3 linked regions of the Caenorhabditis elegans genome follow. The protein of the gene in region 2 interacts with the protein of the main gene of each other region in a biochemical or structural test. Each region holds a gene or a part of one and is shown on either strand. Other genes may lie near its edges.

The links.
Region 1: the proteins of flp-33 (region 2) and frpr-6 interact in a test that uses a peptide from one of them, tested with the Caenorhabditis elegans proteins (one large-scale study listed by BioGRID).
Region 3: the proteins of flp-33 (region 2) and npr-12 interact in a test that uses a peptide from one of them, tested with the Caenorhabditis elegans proteins (one large-scale study listed by BioGRID).

The regions. Positions count from the first base shown.
Region 1 is NC_003283.11:9,099,033-9,103,078, forward strand, and holds frpr-6 (G-protein coupled receptors family 1 profile domain-containing protein), read right to left. Parts: upstream 2,131-4,046; 5' UTR 2,102-2,130; coding exon 1,887-2,101; intron 1,838-1,886; coding exon 1,681-1,837; intron 1,570-1,680; coding exon 1,264-1,569; intron 1,219-1,263; coding exon 1,093-1,218; intron 1,044-1,092; coding exon 919-1,043; intron 870-918; coding exon 749-869; 3' UTR 560-748; downstream 1-559.
Region 2 is NC_003279.8:12,623,734-12,626,906, forward strand, and holds flp-33 (FMRF-Like Peptide), read right to left. Parts: upstream 1,506-3,173; 5' UTR 1,492-1,505; coding exon 1,337-1,491; intron 802-1,336; coding exon 696-801; 3' UTR 501-695; downstream 1-500. Other genes in the region: ntr-1 (G-protein coupled receptors family 1 profile domain-containing protein), read left to right, coding at 367-457; T07D10.3 (C2H2-type domain-containing protein), read right to left, coding at 3,009-3,173.
Region 3 is NC_003282.8:6,934,590-6,939,630, reverse strand, and holds the start of npr-12 (G-protein coupled receptors family 1 profile domain-containing protein), read left to right. Parts: upstream 1-1,982; coding exon 1,983-1,999; intron 2,000-4,570; exon of another isoform or gene 4,571-4,591; intron 4,592-5,041.

The DNA.
Region 1 (4,046 bases), on a different chromosome or scaffold from region 2:
CGTTTTCCGTTAAAATTTTTATTTCATCTATCTCAAAATAGTAGATGAACTTTAAAATTCACAATTGCATGTTACGATATTTTGAACAAATCAAAACCAATCTATATTTAACATTTGGTTATTTTTTTAATTCTAGTTCCTAAAGATCACAAGTCCTATTTTTTTGGTTTCATTTATTGCATCTTTTCTTTTCATTTGCTCCGAAGTAATCAAAAGCATTCGAGGAACAAACTTTTGAGATTCTAAATTTCCCATGATTACCTTCTTTTATTCTCATAAATAATTTTTCCATCTTTTGGTTTTTACTTCTTCATTTTCAATATTTTCCTTAAACTATGCATTAAAAACGTGCAGGATGCTTCGCACTTTCTGGAGGTTTCCAAGAATGTGGCTTCTGTTAGTATATTTGGAAAGTTGCATGATTGTTTGAACTTTAGACCTTTAACTTTTGATTTTTGTACCGAGATCACTATCTCAAAAGCTAAAATTATATATTCATACTTTTCCTTAACCAGACAGTTTGTTTCCATATATATCGTCTAATTTTTAGCATATCATAAATAAAATTCACAACATTTTATTTCATTGAACCGTTCGTAAGATATAGGAAAACAACTTTCGGAATGATTATTATGACGCCGAAGAGGATGGCAAGCAGGAACAAAAAGATCCAAGGAAGTAAAAAAGAAATATCAGAAACAAAAGATCAAGAGATTGGGAGACTACTATATATCCTATTTTCAGATTATTATGCCATTGATGTTTTTGGTGATGTTTTTGCCAGTGAAGTACATATTGAATCGGATTTTTGAAGAAGCTTCCGTTTGTTCAAGTCTGTGAGGCTATTATCCGGAAGGTTGCTTCGTTTTCTAAAATAATATTTAATTGAAAGAATAAGATTTTGATTTTAAAATTTACTTGAACAAATAGCACAAAATATTCCTGAATCTAGCCGAGAAAAAGTAATATATGAAGAATGTCGTGCCAATATGAATGACGATGAGAATATTAGATACTTCAATCATCACTTCGAAATATTCATTCTGAAATGACATGTTCAGATTATTTTATTTAAATCTTTTAAAAACGTACGTGTCGATTGAGAAAATCTTTAAAAATGCTCTCGAACAATTTGAGAGCCATACTGAAAAAGTGACAGAATCCAAAGAGAATAGTCACAACCAACAACATCACAGTTGTATTTTGCTCTTTTTGAAGCTGGAAATATAATAATAATAGAATACAAACGTGTAAAATATTTACCGAAGTCGTCAAAAGTGCTCTCTCCTTCCTTGATTTTCTCAGTTCATTGATGACTTTCATGTTTGCAATGAACATTATAACAAATGGCAGAAGGTAGTCAAAAATGACAGAAATGATGATAAAATATGAAATGTAGTACCACCAGTGCTCTTCTGCATCCAAAATTCCACGTTTTGGCCAGTATCCCAATGCATCCGAATAGCCAATTTGGTATTCAAAGAATTTAGGGAAGTTCAGAATAATTGAAAATGTTATGATGGCTATAACAATTCTAACTGAGTTTTTGAATGTGCACCAAATGTGGACCTGTAAATATTTTCAAATTAGATTTTCTGTGTTGAGATTATAATTTGAAATAAAATTCTGATGTGAATAGTTTCCAATTGTCTATTGACAATTTCACTTCACAAGACTTACCTGTAACGGTCGGCAGACTGCAATCCATCGTTCTACAGTAATCACCACCATTATATAAAGACTTGCAGTTTTTGCAGTCATGCATAACGGATAGAAGAATTTTGTTGAAAATGCAATAAACATACGGCGCATTGACCAAGCACCATAGACATTGTCCCTGAAAACAAGATAGTTAAAACCAATTAAAAAAAATATTGCAAACTAACCAAATAGGCAAATATGAGATGCTATATAGTGGAAGCGCAAAAAGAAGCACAAAAATGTCACAAATTGAAAGTGAGTAGAGTAAGAAGGCGACAGTTGACTTTCGCATGTTTGGAGTTGTGTAGACGTATAGGGACAATCCATTTCCAACTAATCCAACTAGTATTATTGGAAGATAAATCATTGAAACATATTCGGGCCATCCAGTCAATTGCATATTGTTCGAGAAATTGAATCTGAAAATTGTCGATTGAAAATTTTCGAAATCTTTTGTAATTACAGAGCTGGAGAAATGTCATATACACTTGTCGAGCAAAGAAACATTTTCCCTAGAAAAAAAAACGAAAATAAGAAAATTGATTTTCAAGAGAGCTACAAAACCAGGAAACATGTAAAAAAGAAGCATCGGGAATAAATATTTTTTGAGCACACCTATTGTGCTCCGAACTCTTGCATTATTTCCACTTTATTCAAAATATTTTCAAAAACAACTAACACATCCCATCACAGGCGGAAGATTTTTATATGAAAACAGAACGAAAAGCAATAATTAAACAAAAAGTATCATTTAGTCAACTGACGTTACTTGTCTGTCTGGAGTTGACAAAAAGAACTTTCATAAGGTACTTTGAAATGACAAACTACAAAAAAGTGGAAGTTGGAGTTATAACATATTTACTGAAAATGAGGAATAAGGAAGAAGAAGCGTCTTATTCTCATTATTAAAATGTATTAATAGAGCGGAAAAGGGAGAATCTGGGTGGAACAACTCTCAAGAATAATGAGAGTTTTCAAAGATTTTTGAGTTTTTAAAATATATCCAAAATCTGAAATAGATAGTTTATAAAGCTCAAAAAAGGAAATGCATCGATTACCTGAAGACAAGAGGAAATGAGATAGGAAATTGCATCCAGCAAAGTGCACGAAGTTAAAAAAATGTTATTGCAGAACACTTTCTTGATTGAAATTTCAATGTTTTTAGATTGAAAACAAGAATATTCTGGATTTCTTTCTGTCATGAGCTCCAACAATGACATTAAAGTTGATTGATTAAATTGAATTAAAAAATAATAATTTATATTCATGAAAATTTATTACAAGCTTGAAATGGCAAAAAAATTATGAACAGACTGGAATAAAAACCCAGTTTATATCATGATAAAACATACATAGTTAGTGACGTGGAATTGTACTCTTTTATATCCAGAGGGCGGATATGGTAGAAATAATAAATAGTGATGAGGTGTTTTTATGAACAATATACTACAAGTTATTTATCGCTTTGTTTTTATTTTGTATTTTACTGGGGCACAAGTCTGAAACTTGCTTTGAAAAACGTGATACTATTTCAAAATGATGATATGGAAACTTTATAAAATTAACATTCGAAAAGTTCTTAAAAATGTACTATTATTGTACAGTTATAAGCTCTTTGCTTACAATTAGCTAGAGATGCAAAAGGATTAGAAAGTGAACTTAAATCCCAGACCGCTTATTTTTCAGACGACCTGCCAAATAAAAGACCCATTATATGCTCAAAGTTTTCAGGGACCGTTTAAAACTCAATTGACTAGGTATTACGCAAGATAAGTAATGAGGAAACAGCTGAAACATCTTGAAACCTTCAATCAAAAGTCTCGAACTTCAGCTTGATGACGTGGCAGAAAAAACGAGTTGCGTGATAAATAGAAATTATCAAGACAGTTTTGTGGTATGTAATTAGTGGTTGAAAGAACAAATGGGCGGGACTAAGTTTGTTGAAATCAAAGCCAACAAAATTGCTTCTGAGAAAGAACTGAAATTCAATAAAGCACGAGAAGAGTTCGACGAACAGAATAGAAAATACAACTTATTTTGGGGTCATCCCGGTTTTTCAAAGATTTTTCAGGGTTCTCGCGCCACTAATAACTGATTCATCATTTTCTCACCAACATGTTCGATGATTTTTGAGTGCTCTCAGAGCTTTATTGAGTGACGGAGAAAAGGAAGGATTAGGAACTTGTTGTGGTAGTATGCAAAGATGTTTTATGTCAAATGACCTTCTTAAAAAGAGTATGTTCTGCATTTTATTTCTTGGAAAAAAACTAGATACGTCCAAAACTAATCTTTAATTCGAACGTGCATATGTATAAAAGGAGCGTTTCATAAAATTTTGAGAAACC
Region 2 (3,173 bases):
GTGAAACTGTACTACATTCTAATTCAAATATGCCTAGAAAGGCTTGAAATCGTTCCAAAATTCAAGGTTTCAATAAAAAAAATGTTGTCAAAACGCCTTAGAGTACCTGAGCCTGAGCCCCTTTGGTCAAAACTTGGCAGGGCTCCAGCCGAAACTTGACCTAGATCTCCCCTTCCCCATCCGACATCAATTTCCTCCCGCAAACAATAGCTATTCTGGTCTCCCCGACAATTGTATTTTGATGCCCGGTGACATGTCAATACGCACTTCCGATACACTTTATTATACCTTTCTTGTTTACACGTGGTTTTGTTCTTTCTTTGATTCTGGAAATTGTTGTGCAAAAAGAAAATGCTGAAATTCCAGTCGACCCGGCGGTGGAGCCGAAGAGGATCATGCTCCGACAGAGTTTACTATGGAGATGGCTGTGAACTCGGAATCCAATCGTTCTGATTAATTTATCAACTATTTATTTTTCTCACCCATATCAATAAAACATATTTGTCAATGCTCATCGTTTATTTTTGGCTTTAATTTTGCATACGAAGAGTGTCGGGGCCGCACCGATGTCAAGGGAAGAGGACAGAGAAGGAAAGAAGGGAACAGAGAAAACGACAGACACAGAGGAAGAGAGAGAAAGAGAGAGAGAACAAATTGTGAGAATTTCAAATTTCAGATTGAGCTGAGCATCAGGTTTAACCAAAACGTGGCTTTTGGATTCCGTCAATGGTGCGCAGGAATCCTGACATGTCCTCGAAGCCTTCCAGCGGGGCACGACGTTCCTTGGCTGGGAGGAATCGTCTGAAAATTAGGCTTTGAGAGAGGGAACGAGGACTGTTGAAAAGGAGCCTACTCACTAGAGCGAAGAGATAGTGAAGAGATCAGGAGCCTAAGCCTAAGCCTAGGCCTAAGCCTGAACCTAAGCTTAGGCCCAAGCCTGAGCCTAAGCCTAAGCCTGAGCCTAATCCTAGGCAAGGGTGTCAAGTCCCGTGTTCCGTTTGCCCCGTTGTCCCGTTTTTTGGGTGTTTTCACGGGAACGGGACGTCCCGATGTCCCGTTTTTGTAATTTTTACGGGACATTGACACCCTTGATCCTAGGTCTAAGCCTGGGCCTGAGCCTAAGCCTAAGCCTAAATCTTGGTCTAAGCCTGAGCCTAAATCTAAGCCTAAGCCAAAACCTAAGCCTAAGCATAAGCCTAAGCCTAAGCATAAGCCTAAGCCTAAGCTTACGCCTAAGCCAAATAAGTTTAAAAAAACATTATAGTTAGGGCAACGCGACTCATTCAGCAAGTCATATTTATACATCGAAATCTCCAAGATCTAGTTCCCAACTCACTTGATAAATTCCAGCTCGGCGTTGCGAGCTTGACGAGCTTCCTGTGCCAGCTCTGCGGCTCCACCATCGGCAAACGCGGCAAGACGTGGCTCTACCGAGAAGCCATGCACGGCTGACAGCAACACAATTGCGACGATGAGAATAAGAAAACGCATGGTAGGGGGACCCTGGAAGTTTTTATTTTTTTTTTGGGTGAAACAGTGAAAAAGCCCAACGAAACTTAATCTAGGCTCGGAACTCTAAAAAGCTCAACGAAACCCCCAAAAAGCTCGGAACTCGATTGACTTTCTGCTGGCTGCACAGCTTTTATACTATTCAGCTTACCTATATGTGCTCCAAAACCAAACACGCAGGAAACAATTAGAAGGCGTGGTCCCTCTCCGTCTTCTCCAAGAATGTAACAAATCTCAATCAAGACGGGTGACAAGTCAAGAGAGAGAGAGAAGGTAATTGTTCATGAGCTCTTTGATGGGCAGTTGTTTTCGGGTGGAAGCAAGTATAATGCTACAAATAATGGAGGAGGATGATGATGACAATGCCATGATGACGAAGTTCCTGTTTGGTAATTCTGGAAGGTCGTATGGAGTCTATTTCAGTTGTGACATTGGTTTGGTTCCGGTACCATGGCCAAGTGATATCATTTCAATATTTGTGTAGGCCAGATTTTCGATTCCTATTCCGGTGACCGGACCGGATCAAACTGTCACGCGATCTGTTCACTTTACTAAGAACCCATTATTCCTTAATCACGTGGATCGGCCGGTATCACACCTAGATGATATCATTCAATCGTTGTGTCACGCAATATGGGAAACCCATTAAGTTTTCCAGTGTAATTTGATTTTTTCTCGGAATATGTAACTTTAATTTTGGTGGAACAGGCACTTCCAGACCTTCTTTCGGCTAGATCCAAGTCCCGGTTGCTTTACCGGATCGGAGTGTCACGCGATCTGAAAATCTTAAAATTGAGACTTTTGGCAATGGATTTTTGTGCAAAAGAGCATGCCAGTCTGATCGAACTCGGAACTTCAGAGTCAATCCAGCTTGATTTAGCAGACACACTAAACACGCCAGTGTGGTCCATAGAAATGTGGTCTACGAGAATGGCGGGAGTTCAGATGCGGCGGACTTTTCAACTAATTTCGCATGTTTGAGAGTACACACAACTAAATCTGATTAAATCTGATGATCACATTTTTGTAGTTCCGCCGGGTCTTCTTATAATATACAGGTAATTTTGCTAAGAATCTTAGTTCTATGTACCCCTCCAGCCATTCGTAACGTCGATCTAGTATTAATGGGGCATATCGTGCAGTGACTCGGTTCTGGTAACATGACCGGCTCTGATTGTCACGCGATCAGGAGCCTAGAAGTTTAATGCAAGTTTCAGGTAATTTAACTAGATGTTCCGGCCACACCGCCGGATTCAAGTGTCACGCGATCTGAAAGTTCCTTATAGGTTTTTTGTGCAAAAAGTTAAGCAGAAGCTTGTCACGCAAGTTGGGTTTTTGGCAGTTTTTCTGGAAAATTTAAAATGTGAACTTTTACTTGGCCGGAGTAAAATTAGGATAACTGGATTGAATATGGTTCAAGCCCTAAAAGTGTATAGTTATGGTCTTTATGTAGTTGAAAAGGTATAAATATCATTAAAACAAGCAAGTTTATCAACTTCCTACATAATCTTCCAAAAGTAGTCCACTACTTCCAATAAGAGCTTGGCCATCTGTCGTGGCGTAAACGAGGAATGTTTCAGTGGGCTTGTTCGCTGATAATTTGTGAATTTCTCGTTGATAAGACGTTGATTCACATCAATGATCACCACAATTATGGATCGGTA
Region 3 (5,041 bases), on a different chromosome or scaffold from region 2:
GTTAAATATCAAAATGAAAATTCAACAAAAAATCAAAAGTTGGAAAGATAAGTTCGTACCTAATTAAATTTCAACTAGCATTTCTTTCAAAAATTTGAAATTAAGGAATTTTTTTGATTTTTTCTAACCATGATGATCGGTCAACTTTCTCGCCTATCATATATCTAATTATACGGAATTTCGCTCACTTTTGTTTTTTGAACATGCTCATGAAAAAAAGAATATATAATTACATTCTAACCATTGAACAAAAAAAAACGCACTTAAAATGTTCGCGGTGATCATATTACAAATTTGTTCTTGATCAAGAATATCTCATTTTGTTTGAGAATCTACTGTGCAATTCCTGTTTATAACATTTTATTATTATTGTTAATTGAATTTAAAATCGTCCTCTATTTTTTTTCAATTTGAAAACACTAATTGCCAAGCCTGAAAATATAATTTAGTTTGGTTCCGAAGATGAACAGCTTATTATTTTCAAAGAACGCATGTTTGAGATTTAAGATTCAGAGTTGCCAAAATACTTTGAAATTCTATTCAAACTTCTTTTATTTACAAATTTGCAACGAATAACGGAGTGCTGAAATGAACCTCTTCTAGCCCATCGATAGTTTTGTATTCACTTTTAAAGCTGAGAAAATAAAAAAATGTACTGTTTCATCTTATTTTTATAAACACAAAAATATTTATCGAACAATGTTGATTTGATTTTGTGTCCTGAATCTCCTCAACTCATCAAAACCTCATAATTCGTATTTTCCCATTGGTCATCTAAATCCATTATTTTTTTCCAAAATCTCGTGTTCCGGCTTCACTTTTTTTCGATAGCTTTAGTGGAAAAGATTTTAACGACTGGTGCTCATTGCAAACGATGTGAACCCAGTAATTACATTAGAACCCATCGTCCGCCCACCAAAAAGCAATGAGACGTTACTCAATTTGTTCAGAAATGGACCTTCTTAGAAGTAATTCTTTGAATACTTCTTGCAATATTCTGCAAAAATAAACTTTCTGAAACTAGGTGAGAAATAAAAAATTTTCTTGATTTGTTGTGAGTTCTTAAGAATGCTAGAAATTACATAAAACTATAATTGTTTTGTTGGGAAAGTTTAAGATGCCTGACAGTTTTCTTGGAATTTTTTTTCTAAAACAATCAACTAATTTCCATCATTAAATATTTGAATTTCAAACTTTTTTCAATAAAAAAAGATTGAAACTTCTACAACTATTTTGATGTTTTTGATTGAATAAAGCTGGAGTACCGCCCGTGAGGATTCGTTTTAAAAATATTTATAATACTCCAAAATTACCAAATAATTACCTTTTTTTGTAATTTTCCAACATTATAATAGGACAACTGAGTTTCACCACTTTTTGGCTATAGTTTAAAGAATTTAAATAATTCTCTAATTTTAAAACTATGATATTCGAACGTTTCAGGACAAAAAAAATAAAGGAAAATATTGAACCCTTTTTCTTGCTAACTCACCTGGCAGTGACTATTTCCAGCAAAGAAAAAACATCTTTAAAAGTCGTATTACTTGTAAAAACAAATGTGCCGAAAGGTGTATTTATTATGCAACGACATTTTCCTTCTTCCTCTAGTATATATCCACGATTCTTTCCTCATTCCACTACTATATTCATTCCGGAGCTGTTTCCACGAGTCTCTTGACATTTTTTTTCACATTCATTGTCTACTTAATTCTTTTACGACTTTTGCGCTGTTCTATGTTTTTTTGGAACACGTTATTGAATTTGGCAGAAAAAATTAGTCACCTTTTAAGCGGCTTGATATGTTGTTACAAAAAACTTTCAATCACATTTTTCAATCTGTACACTTTTTGTACTCCCTTATCTCTATACTACTTGTATTTACCACTCTTTAAAAACTGATCTTAATTGTTTTTACAGGTAAACACCATCTGGAATCTTTCTAAAAAGAATCTGTAGGCCGATTTTATAGCAACATCACTATAATGACAGTTCACAAAACGTAAGTTGTTTTTAAATGTTTCTGACAGAAAGTTTCAGACAGTAGCATAAACTAAAATAAAACTGTTTCAAATTGTGTACAAATCAAAGGAACGTTGCAGAACAACGATGCTGTTTTTGTTTCAACTTTAAGACGTAACTTTAGATACATGAACATTTAGTGGTCTTCTTCTTTTTTGGTCAAAAAGTGTTCTTTACTTCCTTTCCTGCAAATTGCAAAAAAGAATCGAAAACACAAAAACCAGAATGGTCCTCCACAATTTTGAATAATATATGGCTCACGAACCCTGTCATCCCAGGAATATTTTCATGGTTTCATGGAATTGTTCGTATTTTTCTTGATGATGTGGGTACCAATTCTTCTTAAAAACGTTCAAGTGGGCCATGCTTCATTAATATTTTTGTATTTAAGCTTTCTAAGAAACATCTTCCAAATGTTATCTTGATTTTTTACAAACACCGACATTCGATTTTCAATACATTTTTCTGATCATTTATGCAAATCTGATTTGTTTTTTCCTTTTCTTTTCCTTATTTCAACATTTTTATCATGCCTACTTCATCTTTTTCCCATTCCCATTGCACAAGATTTTCCTCACTATGTTTCTTCAATAGCTTTTCATTATTCCGTGCTTCAACAAAAAATTTATGCGAATTTTAAAATTGAATTCGTACAAACAGGATGTTGGCATCTAGACGAAATGTCGACTGACATTCACAAATGGTTTGACATTTTTGAAATTAATTTTTGTACAGAAAAGTAATTTCCAAAGAATCTAGGATACGGTTGGCATATCGAAATTCCAGTTCCTTATGGGTTTTTTTTCGTAGAAATTTCGAGCGTATAAATACCAGATTTTTCGAAGGCTTTGAGATTTTAGTTTTCATCATCTTGCTGTCAAACTGTACCTAATCGTTTGAATTTAAAGTTGAAAGCTTGATTGAAACCTGTAAATTTTTACTGTACCGAGATCAGAGTGATAACTTTGCGATAACATCACACAGTTGTACCATCAAGCGGACAATATTTCGCCAATTTGGAAATCTCGCAATCAATAGATATTTGATTGGGACCAGATCATTTAGTTAGTTTATTCTTAGGTATTTGAAGCTCAACTTATTCACAAAATGTTTTGCTAAATTTCCAAGAGTCCACCTACAATTTAATAGTCTTATTTGGCATTTCCGTATGCCCACCCACCTCCATTTACTTACTCTATTCTTGTCCATTTCCTGTGTATTCTATGTTTTGAAACACACTCAAATTCACCTTACCCATTCAATTTTACAAATTCCTAACCTCGAAGGAGGTACTTCATTGAGAAGAGCTAATCGACTCCTATTCTTCGTTTCTTCTTCTTTTTTTACATTTTGTTTCAAAAGAGTGCTGTGACGATAAGAATTTATTTTATATCAGGTCATCATTTTCTGTGAGCAAACTAGATATTTTAAGTGAAAAATTATAGTTTAAAAAAAAAATTAGTAACATTTTCAGACGTATACGTACTACTTGACTGTCTCATGATTGCCTACTGAATGTTTCCTCATATGTTAGCGTGGGCTCCAGCTTTTGATTTTTGTGCCTTACGCATTTTTGTAATCTCAGTTCATGCAACACATTTTCAAGAAGTTTGACAAATAGGCATTTTTGGTCGCGGAAGAGTTAAATAATATCACTCTAGAAATGTAGCTTTTATATTCCCAATTGGCGTCAATAAATTATTCATTTTTCATAATTTCTGATTATTATTCAAATGTTTTTAAGTACCAGGGTGTACCAAGCATCTCTAATTAGTTACCATGACAAATTGATCCCCATAGTTTGAAGCTTATACCAATAGTATTAATCTTCTCAATTTTTGAAGACTCTTTTAATATTTAATTCATTTCTCTTCGCCTCTTCCTACATTTTCTATTTTTATTCTTGACTTCCTGCTCTTCGCGGACCTTTTGAGAGCATTTTGTCGTAAAATTAAATAAAAATTGAAGGGGGAATGAGCAGGAAGAGAAATTGCAATTTGCTCTTCACCTTTGAGTATAAAAAAGAAAGAAAAAAAGAGCACACAATAAAATATATTTCAATTTCAATTTACCTTCCAATCAATTCTTATCTGGATTTCATTGTTCTTTTTTGGTTTTTAGTCTCTTCATCAAACCCCGCTGGGATTTTTTAGGGTAATGGAGTCTGAAAAAGAGGAATTGAATAAAAGAAGCAACGAAAGATTTAGAATCATAGATTACGAATCAAATGGAACACGAGATTTCTTGCTGAAGTTAGCAAATAACAACCACTAATCGTCAATTTTTGTCACTTTTACAAAGAATTTTTTGGAAGATTTTTGGAATGATGCTTATCAAGAGCATCATCCTAATTGTAGACCTTCACATTAGAAAAATCAAAGTTAATGCGCAAGTTCATCTCAAGCGAACAGTAATCACAAACTCCAAGAGCCCCGTTTTTGGTCAATTGTTTTTTATTTGATCTGTGCCAAGAATATATTAATTTTTCTTTTTTTTTCAATTTTAATCATGTATTTCATTATAATTTCTCATAACAAATTCGTGGGGGTATGAAGCCCTAATTTGTTCCTCATCTTGAAGCATCATCCACCTCCATTTTAATGTGTTTTTTGGAACAGCTTATTTTTTATTCGGCACATAAAAATATTTTTTAGGAGGCTTGTACAGAAATTTAAAAAAATTCTAATTTTTAGGATTAAGCATTAAGTTTATCTTCTTATCCTGTTACATTTATCATAAACTTCGCCGAGTGTCACAATTTTTTTTGTGAAGTATATTTTTGTCGGATAAAAATTTCTCAAAAGCAAATTATTTGCTCTAATATATTTTTAATATACTTCCCATTGTATGATTCTAGTTTCAAGCTCATCTACTAGTCATCCGACACTTGTTTTTCAACAAGAAAAAAAACAACAAAAAAATTGGAGAAACCTTGGACCCATCGTCTCCGTTTCCCCCGACGTCGCTACTTTTCTATTCTTGTCTATCTATAAATCTATGAGTCAGAAGAAAAGATACAAGA